2 linked regions of the Diceros bicornis minor genome follow. The protein of the gene in region 1 interacts with the protein of each later gene in a pairwise test. Links are inferred from orthologs where the notes say so. Each region holds a gene or a part of one and is shown on either strand. Other genes may lie near its edges. The genes, in order: TCL1A and TTC33.

Region 1 (10,883 bases):
AGGAAAAATATAGAGATGCAAAACAACAATTTTGAAAAGGAACAAAAAGAGAGGACCTACCCAAGTATTTCAAATTCACGTTCATAACTTTTTTTAAGTGCGATTTTACCATGGTAACAAACAAATGGGACAGAATAGAGCCCAGAAACAGACCCATTTCTACACGAGAACTTGGTACTTAATAGCGGTGGTGTCCGAAATCTTGTGTGGAAGGATAAATTATTCAGTAGTGTTTGGGAGATACGCTAAATATTTGGAAAAATTAAGGTACAACTAGATTCTGACCTAGCGGTTTTGCGCCACCCTCTCAGCTTCCCATGCTGCGTCAGACAGTGCTCCACCACCTTTCACAGGCTTGTCATGGCCAATTTTTCCTCAACTGGGTGTTCAGGTCTTTCTGTCCTAGTTCCTCTTGGTCTGGAAGCTCCGCTGAAACCTGTCCACCATGGGTGACCCTGACGGTATTTGAAATACTGGCGGCACAGCTTTCAGCATCATAGTCACACGCAGCCACCACAGTATGACAACTGACAGACGGGTGGTGTGGGTCCCTGACCGGGAAACGAACCCAGGCAGTGGCAGTGACAGCACAGAATCTTAAGCACTAGACAACCAGGGCTGGCTATATAAAATTTACATATAGTATATAGTATATGATATTTATATAACTCACATATAAAAATAAGTCCCACACCATGTTAATTGACTAAAATTCCGTTTAAAATATCCTTAAAACTGAAAAGCTAGGTCAAGAGATATTGTGTAAAGGGTACAGAGGGTGTTTTCAGCATGAAAGCTAAAAGCAGTCCATCGTCAACATATTTACCTCAGCTTACATCTGTTAGAAGCATAAAGACTATGACCTAATTTCCTAGACGGAATACAGAGCTATATGAAATATTTTTCTGAGGGGAAATTAATGCAATCAAATTAAATTAAAAAGAATTGAGGATGGAGCAGAACCAAGGTGATGCACAGCACCAGTAACACTGCGGGTAATAGCCAAAGTGTGGAAAAATCTCAGAGCTGAGAAATGTTTCTGATACTAATTTGGGTAAACTTTCACCTGCCTCTGGACAAATGGTATTACCGAACCAGGTTTGTTTTGCCTGCCCCCCAGAAAGCCAATCACTGAGATGATGAGATTGCGGAGAGAGGGTTTAATCACAAGGCAGCCATGTGAGGAAACGGGAAAATGAGTCTCAAACCCGCTTCCCCGAAAACAGGGACTCAAGGATATTTATCCGGAAGGGGGCAAGGTGGTCTGAAATGTGGAGATAGATGATTGGAGATGAGGAGAAGTGAGGTAATTGATGATCTGTGCAAGCATGGTTAGACTTCACGCCTCTTCATAGGATGCGTGTTCACAAAATGGTGGTGTTGGCATGACCCAAGGGTGGAGTTTTTAGCCTCTTGATGTCAAAAGGTCGCTTATCGGACATCTGTGTGGGCCCAGTTGATGGGTTGGTGGTCTCAACCGGCCTGAAGTGAACAAGGGGTTCTAATTCCTGAAAAACAGCTCAAACACCCATTACCATGGTGACCCAGGCTTCAAAGAGATGTCATCTATAGGAATCTAGTGGGAGTCAGATAGCATATTGCCTAAATAGCACAGTTAACGATGGGCGGGTAAACAGCTAAAAGCTATAGCCAGTAATTGCAAAAAGGACAAAGAACTTTAGTCTTTAGTCCCTAGCTACTTAATCATCAATGGCTAACTTTTTGCCGGTTTCAATGGGAGCCCCATTTTTAGCCCGCAGTGTCTTGCAATTCTGCTGCATGCTGCTTACTCCAGCATCAACTACCGGGTGCGTTTTAAGTAGGGGTTATGGGTGTGGTTTGCTTTTGCATTCTGTTTTGTCTGTGGGTTGGGTGAGTAGAGGGCCATGCTACTCAAGGTAGTTCACAGACCATCAGCCTCACCATGGAACTTGTTGGAAATGCGGAATCTCAAGCCTCCCCGAATCCTGCCCCCCGCCCCCGCGCCCACCGAATTAGAATCTGCATTTTAACAAGATGGCCATACATACCTTAAAGTTTGAGAAGCGCTTAAAACTTAAAGAAAACTCAGTTAAGTTTAAAGAGAGAGATAGTAGCTATGCAGTGGGCAAAGCTCTGTTCAGTCCCCGAGTTTTACTTAGAATATTCTTGTCCCAAATTCTCCATTCATCTAGAGATGAAATTTCCTCCTTTACGGGCAAAGTCTATCTCTTTTACTCTGAGCTCACTTGATCATCAGCCTTAATTATGTAAAATATGGCCCAGACCTAGGAATAATTAAAAAAACCACTCTAGGCAACTAGCACGGATGCCTTAACATCCACATTGCAGAGTTTCTGTGTTTTACACATTGGCGAGATCTCAGAACCTTACAATCCTAATATCTTGGTGTTATGGTTCCCTGCACACAAAAGATTGGAAGCAGCAAATTAAAAGTAGAACATAGAGAAAAAAGTAAAGTACAGGCTTGGGGTGAGGTTTATAGTGAGAATTGGTGGTAGAAAGAATAGCTTTAACATTTTCACGGTTATTTGGTTTTATAAATCTTGTTCACACTTCAAACCCACTAACTCAAATCTTAAAGAAGTGGTTCTCAAGGTTCGCTACACATTAAATCACCTGAGGACCCCCTTAAAAAAAAATGTAATGCTTAAGCCTCAGTCTCAGAGATTCTGGTCTAATTGGTCTGGGGTGGGGTCCAGGCACAGGTATTTTATAAAAGCTTCCTAGGTGATTCTAATTAGCAGCCAGGGTTGTGAGCCACTAGCTTAGTGGTTCAGGGCCATTCATTGTAGGGCCCAGAGGCCTGGATGCCTACGTAGCCCTGTATAGGCTCTTTACAGTGTGCTACAATCAAGGTTAGGATGACATTGGTACCAGGAGTTTCTTTTAAGAGGAGAATGCTTTATATATTAGAAATGATTTTGACAGAAAATAAAATAGCCTAGAGCGAAATGATACAGAAACGAATGTCCAACTCTTGTGTCATAGTTAGAGAAATCTAAAGGGAGCTGGTGGAATAAGGCAGACACCCACCATCTCTCTCCTGATCCTCCCCCTGTAGACCAATGGGATCTTGTTACAATGCAGATTCTGACTCTGTAGGTCTGGGGAGGGCTCGAGACTTTGCAGTTTTCATGAGCTCCAGATGATGCTCCAGGGACCATACCTAGGGCAGCAAGGCTGTAGTTCACACTGATGGCCATGACTCACCCTCGAGCCCCTTCTTTGGAACCCAAACAAGAAGGATGGCTTCCTCACTCTCGAAGAATGAATTCCATTGGGGTCCTTAATATCCAGAATCACTCTGCTCAAAACCATAGGCTTTCCTGAACTAATGTCATGAGTGTATCCATCTCTTCTCTTAATCGTTCCCTCCTCCCACTAGGCAACTTTATCAGGGGATCAGGGACTGTTGAGTTAGAAATGGGCTTAGAGACCATAGAGCTCGGCCCATTCATTACAAAAGCTTGGCAACGAGGCTGAGATGGCAAAGGGTGGCATATTTCACAGGTGAGAGTGGCAAAGTCAAAACTGGATCCAACTCAGGAGAAGAAAGCATCAGTTAAGGATTCTAGTAAAAAAATCAGTCAAAAATAATTGCTTTGTATTACTTTCTACATGCAACATCCGCTTGATTATCTCCATGGAGCTTGCAGACTAACAAAGAGTCAGAAAGGAATATACGACTCTAAAGCTAGGCTGACTGCCCTCAGAGCCCTAAGATGGGGCAGATAGCATGCTGGAGAGGCTCCCCTGCCTCTGAGACCACACAGCAGCTATTGTTTCCCCTCTCATGGAATTTCCATAAAGAAGGCTCAAGGCCTCCACAGAAGCTGCCCAATGAATTCCTCAGTCATCCTTATTTCACTTTTCATTTTTTGGAACTCCTTCTCAAATGATTTTCCAAATCCTACAAAGAATGACATATACTCTTGCTCAATATTAAGAAACCCTCATGTGAAAATGAAGAAATATAACATTCTTTCAAAGTAGGGGGGATCATCTTCCCAGGACATTCAGAAGGGAATCCAGCCAAATGGGTCTGATTCTTGCTCCATTATTTGTTTCTTTGTGCTGCTTAGAAAAGCAAAACAAGCGCTAATGAAATGGACAGGCCCAGTGGCATTCTGGATCCTGGAGCCATCTATGTGGCTGGGTCAGTTGGCCACACTGGCTCCTGGGTGCCCCCTTCCCTTGCCACAAAAGGCCATCCCAGAGGCACTGTTTAAGCTGGACTTGTTAATCATTTCTGACCTCAAAGCTCAGGACTCGGCTGAGACGTCTCCAACAGAGCATATTACCACAGTATCTTGCTCCCATTGGCTGTCTGGGTCTGGAATTAAGACCCATCCACAGGGAAATCACCCTGAAAGCCACAAGTCTGAATATCAAATACAAACACCACTAGGGGCTGCACTGGCAAAGAGGTTTGCTGGGCTCCTGTCTCCTCCCTCCACTCCCAACCTTACTTGGCTTTTGTCTTCTATTTTGTGTTCCTGGTAAATCCAATTATATGTCTATTACTGTAGGCCACCTCCGCACCTTGTTGGGAATTAGGCTGTCTGGATAGGCAGAGTAGCAGATACATTCCTTTGCTATCAGGGGATCAGGTGTTAGGCTCATTGTCACTTTCCTGACGTTTGAAAAGATCAATTATTTTCTTAGTGCCTAGTCAGAGAGATGGGGAAGAGCTGGAAGGCTAGGCAGCAGCAGCGGTGATGTTTGAGCAATGATGCTGAAGCTCGTTTACAAGTTTCTCATTGTACTTTATTTTCTTAATTGCCTTAATGCGCGTGTGTTACTCCAAAATGAAGTGAAATTGTTTTCCTTATTTGCTGTAATTTACAGAGAGGTTTGATCATGTAACCCAGGGACTTCAAATCCATTGATCTTGGGGTAGAGGGAGGGGTTTCTTTTTAAGTATTCCTTTTGAACCATGTTTTCACTAATGAATTCAAAGCCTATAAAGGGAAAAACCCATGTTTCTTCACCACCAAGTTTCACAATAGCTATTAGATGACCACAGCATCATCAAAGCCGTGGAAAATACATGTCTTGGGTGTGGGAGGGGGCGGGGGCTTCAAGAGTTGCACTTTGCCAAGGAAATTGATTCTGACACCCAAATCCACAGGCTGAAGGTGATGCTGTGAACCTGGCAAACACCAGGCCTGGTTCAGGTTTGCATGGATTTCTTCTGATCCCACAAGGTGTGGCGGGGGGCCCTGGCTCTGCGTCGTCTGGCGTCAGCTGTGAGTTCCAAGCAGAGGCTCGGAGTGCCGGTCTGGGGTGTGGCTTGACCAGCTGACTCGGACAGTGGGTCTGGGCGTCAAGGGGAGAGAAGGACGCTGGTGCCTCAGACAGAAGAAAGGACCAAGATACAGAACAGGGTACCTCCCCAGCAGTGGGGAATGGGAGGGGCGTGGAGGTGAGGCTGGCTGGCTGGGGTCCTTAAGGAAGTCCAGGGTCTGTTGGGCTGTGCCTGCGCTCCTAGACGCTGCCACGGTCCCAGGACATAAGTCTGGCCAGTGCTCAGGGCCAGCTCTGGACACTGCCCGGTCGCCCCACGTGCCACGCGCCCGCCCATCCTGCCTCGCGCCCAGCCCACGCGCCCCGCCCCACTACCTCGCGCCCCGCCCCACTACCCCGCGCCCCGCCCCACTACCCCGCGCCCCGCCCCACGTGCCCCGCGCCCCGCCCCACTACCCCGCGCCCCGCCCCACTACCTCGCGCCCCGCCCCACTACCCCCACGCCCCGCCCCACGTGCCCCGCGCCCCGCCCCACGTGCGCCGCGCCCCGCCCCACGTGCGCCGCGCCCCGCCCCACGTGCCCCGCGCCCCGCCCCACTACCCCGCGCCCCGCCCCACTACCTCGCGCCCCGCCCCACTACCCCCACGCCCCGCCCCACGTGCCCCGCGCCCCGCCCCACTACCCCACGCCCCGCCCCACGTGCCCCGCGCCCCGCCCCACGTGCGCCGCGCCTCGCCCCACGTGCCCCGCGCCCCGCCCCACTACCTCGCGCCTCGCCCCACTACCCCGCGCCCCGCCCCACGTGCCCCGCGCCCCGCCCCACGTGCGCCGCGCCTCGCCCCATGTGCCCCGCGCCCCGCCCCACTACCTCGCGCCTCGCCCCACTACCCCACGCCCCGCCCCACTACCCCGCGCCCCGCCCCACGTGCGCCGCGCCCCGCCCCATTACCTCACGCCTGGCCCTTTCGCACGTCCCACCTCGCGCCCCGCCCGCCTCCCCGCCCCACCGATTGGGGGCGCCCGCACGCGATCCCGCTATAAAGTGTCCAGGCCTTGCGTCCCACACACCAGCGAGAGGCCTGGAGAGGCTGCGGGTCTTGCGGCCTGGACCGCCCGAGGCGCCATGGGCGAGCTCCCGTTCTTCAGGGCGCACACTGCCTTTCACCCGGACCGCTTGTGGATCTGGGAAAGGGCCGTGTATGTGGACGAGAACCAGCGCACTTGGCTGCCCATAACCATCGAGGTATGGCCGCTTCGGGGCCAGGCCGGGCGGGGCAGCATGGGCGTCACCATCCCTGGCCCGGCCTGGGGAGCCAGAGACGTCCCAGGCCGCGCGAGGCCCTCCAGGAGCCCCTCAGAGGCGGCAGGGTGAGGGCGGTGGCGGGAAGGCTCAGAAGGCCTGATCCGCCCAGGGCGGCCAGGGGGCTCACAGATGAAACCACTTTGAGGTGGGCTGTGAAGGATGAGTAGGAGTTCTCCAGTTCGCTGGGAAGGAGGGTGGGGAAAAACACAAAGGCATGTTGGCCAAAGGATGGGGACCCATTGCCTCTGGAGTGTGTGAACATGATCTTGAGTAAAATAGGACTTGTCTGGGTTTGAGGGTCCTAAGCCATAAAATGGGAATAACATCTCTCTAAAGATTCATACACGTGGCTGATTATCAGAATCTCCTTAGGTAAGCCTCAGAAATCTGTGTTGTAAAAGGACCCTCAGACAGATTATGATCACCAATTTTGGGGACCACTGCCCTAGAGTTTGGGTTATTTCATATCTCCTCTATGCTTTGGAAAAAACAAACTTCACAAACAATACAGTAGGATAAAAGCCAGCATTGAATAAATGTTGACTTTGTCTTATGTGTGATGCCTTAAGATGGAGCTTTAGTTAACTTTTTTAAAGAAATATAACTCTCTTACAAGTACTTTCCACCAGAGCATAGATTTCCTCCAAGAAACTTAGGTGAAAAATGTTGAAACTCTTTCCATATATAAATGGAAGAAAGCATAAAAGCAAAATTTAAATACATAATATTAGAACATTTATGTGATATATTAGCAAACAGCAAAAAGTTATTGAGTAGTGCCTGTGTCCCCATTTTACAGATGAGGAAACTTGAGGCATAAAAATGTAATATTGTCCAAAGTAGAACTGCTAGTAGGTAATGGGCTTGGGGTTCCAGGTTCTTAACCACCATCTAAATTTGCATCTTTATTGAAATTCAAATTTTTTATGTATACATATATATACTTTTAAAAATCAAGTTAAATATTTGCTTTTTTTAAGTCAAGTATTTGAAGAAAATTTAAGTGACTATCTTTTTTTAATCTCTGGTTGAGGGGTATCTTCTTCAACATGACACTGAAACCACAGAGTTTTTCACATAATCATTATAAATTCTGCACAAAACATAACCCATTAGCAAACCCATTTGCCTCCTGTAACTGCAAAGACTAGTATTCTTAATATGTAAAGATTTACTTAGCCAGCCCTCGTGGTCTAGTGGCTAAAATTTGTAGTTCTCACCACCTCTGCTGGGGTTCGTTTCCCGGTCAGGGAACCACACTATCCATCTGTCAGTTGTCATACTGCGGTGGCTGTGTGTTGGTGTGATGCTGGAAGCTGTGCCACTGGGATTTCAAATACCAGCAGGGTCCGCCATGGTGGACAGGTTTCAGTGGAGTTTCCAGACTAGACAGACGAGGAAGAAGGACCTGGCCACCCACTTCTGAAAAATTGGCCATGAAAACCGTGTGAATAGCAGTGGAGCATTGTCTGATACAGCACCGGAAGGTGAGAGGATGGTGCAAAAAGACTGGGCAGGGTTCCGCTCTGCTATACAGAGGGTGGCTAGGAGTCGGAATTGACTCGAGGGCACTAACAACAACAAAGATTTACTTAAATCAATAAGAAAAAGATGAATAAGCAAACTAAAAATGGTTAAAGGATATAGAAGACTCTAACAGAGCAAGAATGGTGACTTCCACACTTATACTTTGCAGGATGATCAGAATTATTTTATAATAGTGAGTTCTAATTTATTTCATAGAAAATTTGAAATAACTATTTCCACTTTGGAAAAATAGTCATTGAACAAACAGGAATGCCTAGTTTATATGCCAAGCACGATTCTAGGCTGTGGGGGTTTGCAGTGACTGTGATAAAACCCCTCTACTTGTCAAGCTGACATTCGAGGCCAGTGGTTAGTTGTGTAGGAGAAGGAAAGTGGGATGAGAGGTGATCACGAGTGGTGTGGGGGCTTCAGGCAGGACCCCTGGGAGCTTAATTCGCATTTGCCTGTCATATTTTGCCCATGATTTTATTTGAAACCTTTCTGAACCTCTATTTTAGGCATGCCTCTCATTTATATCTTAGAGTTGGATTTTGCTGAAATTTGTCTTTCTAGACATACGGTTGAGCAGAGACCTGCCTAAAAGAAGGATGTGAGCCCTGTGTAGATCTAGGGGAGAATGTTCCAGGCAGAGGACACAGGTGCCAGAGCTTACTGGGAGTGTGGCACGTCCCAGAAATAGCGAGGGGGCCTGTGTGGCTGCACCGGGGTTGGGGGTGAAGGACAGGATGACAGGAGATGAAGGAGGCAGGGGCCCGGCTACGTGGGCCTGTGGGCTGTGGTAAAGATTCCAGTTCATTCTGCCTGCGATGGGAAGGCGTCGGACGGTGTCGAGCGGGGCAGTGACGTGATTTTTGGATGCACACCCTAGCTGCTGTGCAGAGACTTGATTGTGGGGCCCAAGACGAAGAAGGCAGCAAGTTAGGAAGTTATGGCGATAGTCCAGGCGAGAGATGATAGCAGAGGGGCAGTGGTGGAGATGGCGAAGAGTGGTCTCACCTGATTCTGGGGTCCGGGATATCTTGGGATATATGACAAAATAAAGAAAAATCAGAGAAAATCCATCAGCTGAAATAGCTAAGGAAACCGCATGGGTGAGGAAGCTCAGGGCCCCATGGCGTATCCTAGCAACTAGAAGTTTGTCAGGGAGAAGTGAGCCTTTGGTGGCCCTGTCTGGGTATCTGGACATGTGTGAGTGCTGGTCGTCCTGGCCCAGCCAGCGTCTCTGAGAAGAGCGTGCATGGCTTAAGGGATGGAGCCGTGGGAACTGTGATCACCGGCATCTCAGATGCCAGCCGGGCCGGGCGGGTGGCAGGAAGGACTCTGGTTATTTGTGCCTGGAGGAGCTCTGAGTGTGCCCTGACGGTGTGCCCTGCTCTTCTCTTCCCTTCAGATGGACAGCAGCCTGCAAGTACTCATGCGTCAGGAAGATATCCCCCTGGGGGAGCCGGTGCGCCCCAGCCAGCTCGGCCCGTACCTGCTGCCTCTCATGTGGCAGCTCTACCCCGGAAGAAAATACCGCGGCTCAGACTCCAGCTTCTGGCGCATAGTGTACCACATCGAGGCAAGCCTGTGCTTCTCCCAGGGACCCGTCGGGTCATCGTGGGTGGCCCTGCTCCCCACCCCCCCAATGCCTGGCCTCGGCAGTATATCTCTTCCCTCTGTCTCTGCACCAAAAGCTAAAAACAACTGGAGGGAATTGACAGCTGCAGATTTTGAGAGGACCGGATTAGAGAGACGGTAGAACTGAATGACCAGGTCACTCTCTGGGGTCTCTACCAGAAGCCCCGTCCGCCACATGAAGGCCTCTCTGGTGGGCACTCGGGGTGAAGGCTGGTGGGAGGAGGGAAAGTCTCCCGAGGGCCTCTGGAATCCCCCCATGCAGGTTGCCACCTGCTGCTCCAAGCTTGTGGAAGGCCTGGGAGCCAGGAAGGGAAGAATTCCCAGGGCTCTGGTCTCTAATTTCCTTCTCTCTCGCAGTTGAGTGGCATAGAGGATATGCTCCTTGAACAGCTGCCAGACCCGGATAATGAGTGACGTGGTGAGCACCGTGGGGCCCCATACCTTTTAGTCCAGCGTGGCCAGGTCACAAAGAAGGCACACCCTTTCTCCCTGCAGGCAGTGCTGACCCCGCCCCGACTGTGCTGCCCTGGGTCCCGAGGGCTGGGGACCCAGGCTCCCTCCTCTACCACCTTAGGAGCCAATCCTTTTTAGGCAGCCCCCTTAACAACAGAGGCACACATCAGCACAGCGCTTCACAGGTTACGGCGTGTCGCTTGATTGTCACATCAGCTGAGCTAGGTAGTACTTGATTTTATAGGTTACAGAAATGAGTTTTGAGGAAGGACAATGACTTGCCCAGGTCACAGAGCCAGGTTTCAAATCCAGGTCTAGTGGCACCAAGCTGCTCGCTCTGTTCACAGTCTGCCCTCCTCAGCTCCGGGGCCAGCATTGACCACCCGGCAGCTCTGCTCCCGCCCCTCGCCTCTGCCGGGTCCTTCCCTTTGCCCTGACTCTTGTCTTGTCTTGTCCTCCTGCCCCAGGTCCCACGGTTCCTGTCTCCCTGAGGCCCCATCCTGCTGGCCTGCAGTGGGGATGTTCGAGCTTGTGTTCACCTGTTTTACCAGCCCTGTGTTCTGCTCTGCCACACCCGGGTCTGGGAGGGAATGGACGGGCAGAGGATGAGCCCCACCCAGGGCCTGCTGGACCTGCCTGCACCCCTCCACCCTGGTGTCCCCTGGCAGACTGGCACTGGAGAGGACCTTGCTCGGTATAGCTTCCTCC
Region 2 (10,615 bases), on another chromosome or scaffold:
CACTCAAAGAAGCAAATTACCATTAAAAAAATTGGGAGGGAGTATTGTGGATTATAATAAATAGAAATTTTATTTACCCAGATGAAATTACTGAAGCCAAATCCGGAACTGCTACTCCACAGAGATCGGGATCCGTTAGCAACTATCGATCTTGCCAAAGGAATGATTCAGACGCTGAGGCTCCAGGAAAATCCTCAGAAGCTTCTCTTACCTCATCAGTGACCTCACTTGACTCTTCTCCTGTTGACTTAACTTCAAGACCTGGAAGTCACACGATAGAATTTTTTGAGATGTGTGCGAATCTAATTAAAATTCTTGCACAGTAAACCTAAAACTTTGCTTATTTCTTTGAGAGCAATAAGCATGTATAATAAATCATAGCCAAATGCTTCCATTTATAATCAAGTTATATATAACTATAACTGAAGATTGGCCTTTTGGAATGCAATTTGCACAGGGATTGGAATGTGATTAATAGTTAAAAGCCTAATGTGCAAAAATGAATTAAGATAATTTTGTTGTTCATTGTTGAGTAGGCATATAGCATAATATAATATACACAATGAATTATAGGACTCTCAGGCTCGCTTGATTTTTGGCTATTTTATATTTAGTGTACACAGGGCTTTGTAGAATATTAATTTACCATAAAGGCCTTGATATATTATTACATGTTGATGTGTTATATATTTGCTTCATAAATGTATTCAATAAATATTTGCGTAGAATCCCCAGAGACCTTTATAGATGATTTTGTTTTCTGAGCTCCTTAACTTCTTGAATAGCATCTATCTTCCAACAGTAGGGACAGTCTGGATGACTCTTCCATATCTCCCCTTAATATTCTGTAGTATATGGTAAGTCACATCAAAGGTTTTAGACACAATTAGAATTTTTTCTTTAGCTTGGTAAGTCCAAAAACACACAGAACTTATATATTCAGATACTCTAGGCAGTAAGTTTAATCTTACAACTTGTCCCACTCTATTCTGTACATAAATTGCTGTTTTTGTCACAAGAGCTGAGTTGCATATACTGTACGTAAATCATCTTGTTTTTGCCAGTCTCACAAATTCTGCTGCTTATCATGTCAGCCGGTATTGAATGTATGTAGAAATTTCTAGCATTCGATTATGTATCTTTTAAATTGATTCAGTGCACAGAAAGCACATCTCTTACAAACTGTTTAAACGCTCAGATAAGACTTTTTCTCCCAAATTTTATCATGAACATTCTTAGAAAAATTGAAAGTCTGAAGGGTGATCACATGTGTATCTACCACTTAGATTCAATACTTAACATTTTTCCATATTTGCTTTGTCTATATCTGTGTATATAGATATAGTTATACACATATATGCTTGTATATATATGCTGTTCCCCCCCGAGCCATTTGGATGTTGCAGACATACTCATCACCCCTCAACATTTCAAGCATCTCCCAAAAATGATGACATTTTCCTAAAAAACCATAACACCATTATAAAATTAATAATTCCCTAATGTCATCTAATCATGCATATTTAGATCTCCCCAGTTGTCCTCCAAATTTCTTTTATAGTTGGTTATTTCAAACTAGGATTCAACTAAAGTTTACACATTGCATTTGGTTATGTCTCCTTAGATATGACATTATTATTCTGATAAAATATGGAACAAATCGGTTAGTTCTTCTAGATGGTCACATTTGTTTTGGATTTTAAGTACTTTTTAAAAAGTAGGATTATGAGAACTGCCTAAAGATGCTTAATCTTCCTAAGATCTCTGATTCGTATTTTCTTTTTCTTGCTCTTAGTAATAGCATTACATAATAGGTGTAAATGAAGATTTAAAGTCACCTCAGATAAAATTGGTATCATGTATGCTAATAAAAAATAAAAAAACCACTATCACCCATAATTGCCTTATACTATTTTAACTTCAAGAAATTGATTTTTTTGGGGGGGGATATTAATCATTTTTCCATTGCAACAGAGCTATCTTTTGTTCTCTTTTAAGACTCTGTATTATAGGATTGGTTTGGGAAATCCAGTGAGCACCCATGTAACCAGACAGTAATGTACTCAAATGTCATGATAGCTTGCATAAATAATTACTGTAGTTGTAGATTTGGCTCCAGCACCTCTAGAAACATGCACTGAATTTAAAAGAAAAATGTTTTTTCTTTTTTGTCTGGGGCTTGTTCTCTTCAACTTTAAATCGGAAAGCTGTATAAATTAATAGAGGAGTTCCATTTAAATATAAGTTCAAACTGTATTTATAATTTGTGTGTGGCCCTCTGTTTTGGGGATATTGATTTCATGTAGGGTCTCTAAATGCAGCATTTTGTTCCTGCTGTTAAGAACAGAAGACTGTATTTTTAAAGTTACATATTTGTATATAAAACTAAGACATCGCCGTAATGTCTCTATTAGCTGTTAAGGGGAGGGGGGAACTAAAGGAGGAACCAATTAAATAGGACCTTCTAAAAATTGTTAATTTTGTAAACTTTGCTTCTTTTTTAAGTTATTGTGATTCCTTTTAGTTACTGAGTTTTATTTTGAAGATATTTAAATATTGCACTTGTACAAATAGTATAAATGCACAGACTATTGCAGTAAATTCTTTTTTAAGCTGGGATATTTGAAATGATAACTTTTGGTTGAGTGTGTCAAGGTTGCATCAGAATTTTCACAAATTTATTGTAGTTTGCAAATTCTTATTAAGTGAAGATATAAGAGAGTCAATGCAAATGATTTTTAATCTTTTTTTATTATCTTTTCAGCAATTTATATTTTTTGTGATTTTATGCAACCATATTTTTACTTTGTCTTGACAACTGAAAGATGTATAAGGTTTTTGCCAGAAATGTACTGTATACATAGTTTTAAATATAACAGATTTTACTGATATGTAAAAATTTTGCCATTAAAATAAATGATTTCTCACTGAGAGGAACTTTTCTACCAGGTTGCGGGATATGGGAGCTTAATATATCATATCTAATTTAAAATAATTTCACTGAAATAAACTCCATTGCTTTTACTTTGATGATATTTTCTCTTGAGATGCTTTTGTAGTTTTTCAGAGTTTTAAATGATTTTCTACAAAAAGTCCTGCCCTCTGCCCTGCCCACCCCCCACCCTTTTGACCTTGTAGTAATACCATTTACGTTGAATTAATGTTGGGTGGACTGTGGCTGGATGTAGAATTTCATGCATCTATACTCTGGCACCTTTGGAATGAAAGAAAAATGTGTGTCGTTAAAATCTTTTCCCCTTAATTCCTTCCATCTCCCTCATCCACAATAAAAATCTCATTTTTGTTGTGAGTTCTGACGAGATGAATAAAATTCCACATACAATATAACTAAATTGGTAGTAGGGTAGAAATCGATCTTTGTGGTACAATATTTCTGAGACGTTCATGGATGTTTTGACTGGAGTATATCTAAGTAGACAATTTCAAATAATTTGATTTAGAAAGTGGATAAAAAAGGAAAACATTTTTCATCTGTTACAGTGTGCTTAACTTTTTTAACTTCTGGAAAAACAATGAAAAAAAGAAAGCTCTTGTTCATGGCTGACCATCTGCATCTTTTTAACAATGTGCCTAAATATAAAATATAGTGCTTGAATAAATTTTAGCACTCAAACATTGTGACTTTTGTCTCAACTAAGTTAAGTTTAATTTCATCTAAAAATTAGCCAACTGAACAAAATATTAATATATGTACAATAAAAACCAAAGCGGTTACCATGTCTCTGGGTGCTAACACTGGATTTGGTTGGAATTCCACTATGTTAGAATCCAATTAGCGTGAAATCTTCCATCCCGTCTGGCACTGTTAGGCAGGCTTGTGCTAGATTGTTGGCATTCTAAATCCTTAAAATAGCTTGATAATTGTAAGAAAAGAAAATAGTACTAAAGAGTGTTAATTAATAGCACATAAGATTGTTCTTTAGAGAACTTATAAATTGCTCTAAGTATTTACCCTGACTGTAGAAAATTGTACAAGAAGTTCTCTTGTTTGAAAAATCAATATTTATTGAACTGTTCTATTTATTGTAAACAAATGGACTGTTCTATTTATTGTGACTGTCAATAAATGTTAACTATGATAGATTTAGAAGATTTCTAGCAATTTGGAAGATGATCATGTTGTCTATAAACAGACAGCATGGGAAATGTATTAAATACATCATCAGGGACATCAAGATCAGAGACCAAAGTAAGTAGAGAAGTGGTGGGTGAAGTGTGAAAATGTACAGTTTGGAGATAGACTTTACCAGAATAGGATGGATCAAGGTTAAATTATTTGAGAGATTTAGGAAAGACCCCTCGAAAGGGGTACATCTTCAAGCACTACTTAATAACTCACTCTGCAAACTATATCCCCTCAAAAGGCTACTATGAACCAAACACTATGAATGTGACCATAAGGCATAAATTCTGCTCTGAGTGTCTGGTTAGGGAGACAGATATTTTTAAAGACTTTCATAGAGGTACGTACAGAAAAGTGCACAAATCATAACTGTTTGGCTCAATGAATTTTCAGTGTATTTAGGTTTGCAGTGAACATGGCCATGTAAACCTCTACCCAGATTAAGAAACATTGCCACCACCTTAGTGTTTTTTATAATTAATATACATATCCTGTAGGTAACAGAACAACTCTGGTATGATGTGGGAAGGATCTGCACAGTGTGAATGCTGGGAGTAGGGATCATAGGAGGCTATCTTGGAAGCTGGCTACCACAATCATGCATTGATCATTTTGAAAATACTGGTTCATTTATGGAGCTCTTACAAATGTTGATGCATTTAATCTAACAATATAAATAAAAATCACATCTGGTGTCACCACTGATCTCATCAGAAAAGTCTGGAAGTATTGGGAAGCTGTCAAGATCATTATGGCAAACAAGTTTTCCAAAATCATAATTTTTGCTTAAATTCTTGAATTTTACCAGTGGCAACACTGTCACTTGTTTTTCTTGAGGTAACAGACTCCCTTTGTTCATTTTCAAGAAAAGTTTTGTCAAATACCCAAGTCTGAATTAGTTGGTCTGTCAGTCGTTCTTCTGAGTAAAAGTTATATTCCACGAAAAGAGTATTTACTTCAGTTTATAATGCAGTCTCACAAGTGCTTTTACTGGAGACATCATGCTTCAACATACAGCAGAAATACTTTATGAGTACTTCCCATTTTGTCATACAGAATATTAAGAAGGTCAAGGGTCATTTTATTTATTTTTTTTATAATGTTATTTATTTATTTTCCCCCAAAGCCCCAATAGATAGTTGTATGTCATAGCTACACATCTTTCTAGTTGCTGTATGTGGGACACGGCCTCAGCATGGCCAGAGAAGCAGTGCGTGGGTGCATGCTGGGGATCCAAACCCAGGCCGCCAGCAGCGGAGCGCGCGCACCTAACCGCTAAGCCACAGGGCCAGCCCTGGAGGGTCATTTTAATAAAACAGTTTTTACTGCTTCATCAAGGACATTCTTGAGTGACGGTATTTTTTTCCCTGCTACGAGTGTGTGGTGGTGAAGAATACAATGGCTTCTAGTACAGTTTGGTATCGTCTTAATTTGTGCTGAGGCACCAGCAGTTTTGCCCACCACTGCTTTTCCACTATCAGTGCAAATGTCAACATTGTGAAAAAGGCAAATGATGTCTTCCTATTAGTATGAAAATAGTTTTGACTTTTGAAAAGGTCTTGGTTACCCTCTGAGGTCTGAGAATCATTGGTTCACATCAGCGGTTCTCAATGGGGCAGGGGTGGTGCGATGATTTTTCTTCCAGGGGCATTTGGCAACGTCTGGAGACATTTTTGGTCGTCACAACTTGTGATGGTGGTGGTGGTAGTGGATGCTAAAGACATCTAGTGCATAGAGACCAGGGATGCTGCTAGACAGCCTACAGCACACAGCAGAGCCCCTCTTCCCCCAACAAAGAATTAGCCGGTTTGAAATGTTACAGTGCTGAGGTTGAGAAAGCCTAGTCTACGAAAATGGTCTTCCTTTGCACAAGATAGCTACCTTGATAAGTTAACAATCTTAATTTTTCCATTTCCTAAACACTTTCCTGGGTTACATTTCCCCACTTTATTTTCAAGACATGAGCCACAGCCATTTTCAGGCCATAATTCTCTCTTCTGGGTCCAACTGATATGTTTTTCCGACGTGAAGCCTACAATTCAACCACGGCCCTCTCTGATCGGCTCCCCTGAACCCATTTTCAATCGAGTTTTGCGTCTGTCCTCCGCATCTGCTCGGCCTCATCAGCTAGGTTGTCAACTCTTTCAGAGCACGCCCCCGCCTCGACTGCTTTACCCGCTGACTGCGTGAGCCGCGCGGTTTGTCCGGGACTCACTCCCTCCGCGCGCACCTCAGCCCGCGCAGCCGCAGTTTCTCGTGTCTCTGCATTGCGATCGCCCACGCGGCCGACGCTTCGGGCTGCTGCTAGAGGGCGCTCCGGGCCGCGGTGGTCCGAACTACAAATCCCAGAGGGTAACAGGGATGGGGGCGGCCGCGGTGACTTTTGGGAGTTGTGGTCCCGGGGAAGAGACTGGCATGAGACAAAGGCTCTGAGACTCGCCTCTTCCTCGCCCGCTTCTCTGCACGGTTCGGAATCCGTGGGTCGGGCAACTTCATTTCTTGAGAGACCAGGCGCCCAAGGTAAGCAAGCAGGATGTTGGACATAATTTCCGTTTCCGGTGGGCAAAGGTCAAGCGGAATGTAAACACGGGACTTGGGGAGTGGTTATCAGGTAACTGGGGTTACTCGGTGCGTGGTGAAAGCCGGAGGAAGAGACGCAAACGAGGCGAGTGGGTTTGTGGTCGGGGGAGAAAGGAGCTTCAGAAGTCGGAGGTGAGATTCAACCACACTGTGGCAGAGTCGGGACACTAAGGTTGGTCTCTAGGGACGAGCACGTCTGGGGGTCGGGCCGCCCATGCCCCCGCGCCTGGGGCGGCTGCCGCACTCCGTAGGCTGACCGTGCGGCTTGGATCTCTCCGTAGCGCTGGGAGGGCGGATCCCAGCCTCTTTCCACCCCTCCTTGGTGGTGTCTGTGGCGGAGGGCGGGGCTGGGGAACTCTCAGGTGACGTCCAGGGCAGCCTGTATGAACTTCGCACATTTTTATTGTTATGGAAAATGAAGGAAAGTCGCCAATACTGGTTTCTGTTGCGGTGATATTTTCGGGCCCATTGTTTCTTGAATTCCTCACTTCTGAATACATCCCTGTACCCGGAAGGATGCTGTTTTGATTTCCTGATCGTATTCCTCCAGTGGTTTCTCGCCTGGGGTGCTGCATCCTCCGACGCAGTGAAGACAGGCATTCTCTCTGGCTTGTGGCTGGGTAAACGGTCACAATTTCCATAGACAGTAATTGAGCGCTACTATAGGGATCATTGTACCAGCAAAAGAATTTAGAATACAACGTCGTTGTTTAGAATTTTCATGGCATTCACTAACTGTAATTCTATATAAAATGAATTTGTGTTGTTTCATGAGTTTAATATGAATCCCATATGATTATGATTTACCCGTATGATTTCTTATCCTGGTGAAAAAAAATGTAAAGGTTAGGATATTGATGCCTTGTGCATCTAACTATGGATTCAGGAAAGCCTTCTATATAAGAAGTTTTAATTTCATGTTCAGATAGCTTTAGAGGAACAATAAACTCGTACTGTTTAAGATATCTGAATCAACTCGGGGTGTTAAAAGTTCTGAGGCAGGAAGTGTTTTGCATATGTTCTGGAACGCACCGTCCTTTCAAACCTAGCTAACTTATTCTTCGAAACTTATCCCTTCAGGAAGCATCAAGTGTCTCTTCTCTGACGTCGTAACATCTTTTGTTTACTCTCTAATTGCACTTAAGCTGTATTGTGTTGACTATACTCTTGTGGTCTCCAGACAATTTTGAAGAAAATATAAAACTGTAAAAATATAAAACTAATGGCCTTGGTAGCAGTTTCGTGCTTTTTACCCTTAGTGGGCCCTTGATATTGTTTGATATCTTTACTCATCCCTTGTTTCACTTTTCCTGTACTCCACAATGACTATTTCAGATCTTTTCTATTCTTCTCAAGTGCTCAAATCTATTTCTTTTCCCTTTAGTTGGAGCAGAGGACTAGCCTTCTATTTCTCGGAGAAATGTGAAGCTTAGGGGTGTAAAATCCTGTATTTTCTCTTCCCTCTACCCTTGAACTTGCTTATACTTTTCACTCAGTATCAACTCTTGTCTGAGAGGAAAATATTCCTGTCTCTGTCTTTAAGGCTAAACTTGTCAGTTGCTGGTGGTCATCAGGCCTTTTATACCCCTATAACTTCATTCTTTCCTAACCTCCAACAGCCTCTGATTTCTAGAAGATTTTAAAGTATTTGTGGAGGAGAATGGCAGAAACACCCGAGGCAGCAGTGTGTGTGGCTTTTTTGTACATGGTTGAGAACCACTGTCTGGGGCCTTAACCTGTACCTGTCCTCAGCATTTATAGCAATGGTTTGGGTTGGAGGGTGGGGAGGGTATTGGGAGTCTGAATGACCTATTCGCTTTTTTAAAAAATACATGTGGGTCTGTCTGTCCCTTTTTCCTTTCCTCCCCACCCTGACCCGTGTTCCCAATAGTCTACAGACCTGACCAATGAGTTCAAATATAATTTGCTTTAGTAAACGCACCAGATTTCCATCTGTATTAGTAGGGTTCTCGCACTGCCTGGTGCCTCACATTGCTGATTTAGAAACAAAGTTCCATTTGAAACTTGAAGACGGAAAATGTAATCATCCTCATTCTTGTCACCTTTAAGGACAGTCATAAATACAAGACTTCTTAACTTGACTTATCCTGAGATCTCGTGAGACTTTCCTAACGATCCGTTCTATCACAGTCTCACTCTGTGCCTCTGGACTTCTGTTCCATATTAACCACACTTCCATTTTCAGCCATTTCTTGGGTCTTCCCCTGAGTTACATGTAGTCATCTTCAAACATAGGAAACTCATTCTCCTCTATTTTAATGGGTCTGGAGAGAGAGTGTGGCATTGTCCTAATTCCTTAGTATAGTTTATAATCCATTACTTCTCCAGGTTTTTCTAAAAATCCCTCTTCCTGTGGAAAGCATATGGTTCACCCGTGTCAGCCTGTACGTTTCTTTCTTTCTTTCTTTTTTTTTTTTGTGAGGAAGATTAGCCCTGAGCTAACAACCAATGCCAATCCTCCTCTCTTTGCTGAGGAAGACTGGCCCTGGGCTAACATCCTTGCCCATCTTCCTCTACTTTATATGGGACACCACCACAGCATGGCCTGATAAGCAGTGCGTCGGTGCACGCCCGGGATCCGAACTGGTGAACCCCGGGCCGCGAAGCGGAGTGCGTGTGCTTAACTGCTGAGCCACCGGGCCGGCTCCTCAGCCTGTACGTTTCTTGATTGTTGTAACTTGTTGGCACTTCCTCATATTCATTAAGAAATTAGGCATATGGCCCACAATTTTCTTATCCTTCTAAGTTCTGCCATTATTCTGGGCCTTTCCATGTGAATGAACTCACAGCTGCCCTCACTTTTTTTGTCCCCTTCCTTCTAGTGATTACTTACACTTTACTTCAGCCATATGCATCAGTGATGAAGATCCTGATATCTGCTAGAACTTACTGTTTCATTTCTCTCGTCCCTTACTCCCGTAATGCTCATTCTTTGATAGTTTTATGAAGACCTCTGGTTCATTGCTTTTGCTTACCCCTCTAATTGAGCTAGCCAGCCTTGGTGGTCTAGTGGTTAAGACTCAGCACTCTCACTGCTGCAGCCGAGGTTTGTTTTGTGGTCAGGGAACCACACCAACCGTCTATTGGTTGTCCTACTGTGGTGGCTGCATGTTGCTGTGATGCTGAAAGCTATGTCACCAGTATTTCAAATACCAGCAGGGTCAGCCATGGTGGACAGGTTTCAGCGGAGCTCTCAGACTAAGACAGACTAGGAAGAGGGACCTGGCCACACACTTCCAAAAAAATTGGCCGTGAAAACTCTATGGATAGCAGTGGAGCACTGTCTGATATAGCGCCAGGTGAGAGGATGAGGCAAAAAAGACTGGGCAGGGCTCCACTAGGAGTCAGCACTAACAGCAGTTAGTTGATCAGTGAGTTGGGGTCATAGACTTCTTTAGGAATGGAATGAAAGCTTAGACACTCTTCTCCAGAGTGCACACAGGCATGTAAAAATTTATATATAATTCCAGGGAGTTCTCAGTATCTTTAAGGCCATCCATGTAAGTAGTAAGAGTTCTTGGATCCCTCAGTAAATCCCTTCTCTTAATAAATATTTGTTGAATTTTTCCAGGGTTTCCTTTAGCTTTGTTCCATCAATTATCTTCTCTTTCTAACCCTTGCATTTGTATATCATTGCAGATTTATAAAGCAATTTAACATTTATTAAATTGTTAATAAACAATTATTTGTTTTATTAATAACACAAATAATTGTGTTATTAATGGACACCAAAGGTAAGCAGGCCCCAATAGTTCTGTGAATTAGGTCATTTACCAAGTTTGAATATTTAAAAAATTTTTTATTATGGAAGATTTCAAACATACATGAAAAAAGAGAGAAAAGTACAAGGAATCCTATGTACTCATCACC

The links.
Region 2: the proteins of TCL1A (region 1) and TTC33 interact in binary tests that used the Homo sapiens proteins (3 or more experiments, as listed by UniProt). The two-hybrid records come from large-scale screens. The link is inferred for Diceros bicornis minor from reciprocal best matches to the Homo sapiens genes TCL1A and TTC33.

What each region holds. Positions count from the first base shown.
Region 1 is NC_080763.1:41,263,366-41,274,248, reverse strand, and holds the start of TCL1A (T-cell leukemia/lymphoma protein 1A), read left to right. Parts: upstream 1-6,341; 5' UTR 6,342-6,374; coding exon 6,375-6,494; intron 6,495-9,492; coding exon 9,493-9,663; intron 9,664-10,079; coding exon 10,080-10,136; 3' UTR 10,137-10,140; intron 10,141-10,642; 3' UTR 10,643-10,883. UniProt on the Homo sapiens protein: Enhances the phosphorylation and activation of AKT1, AKT2 and AKT3. Promotes nuclear translocation of AKT1. Enhances cell proliferation, stabilizes mitochondrial membrane potential and promotes cell survival.
Region 2 is NC_080759.1:29,126,184-29,136,798, forward strand, and holds the start of TTC33 (tetratricopeptide repeat protein 33), read left to right. Parts: upstream 1-6,566; 5' UTR 6,567-6,664; intron 6,665-6,736; exon of another isoform or gene 6,737-6,896; intron 6,897-9,252; exon of another isoform or gene 9,253-9,400; intron 9,401-10,615. Other genes in the region: PRKAA1 (5'-AMP-activated protein kinase catalytic subunit alpha-1), read left to right, coding at 82-326.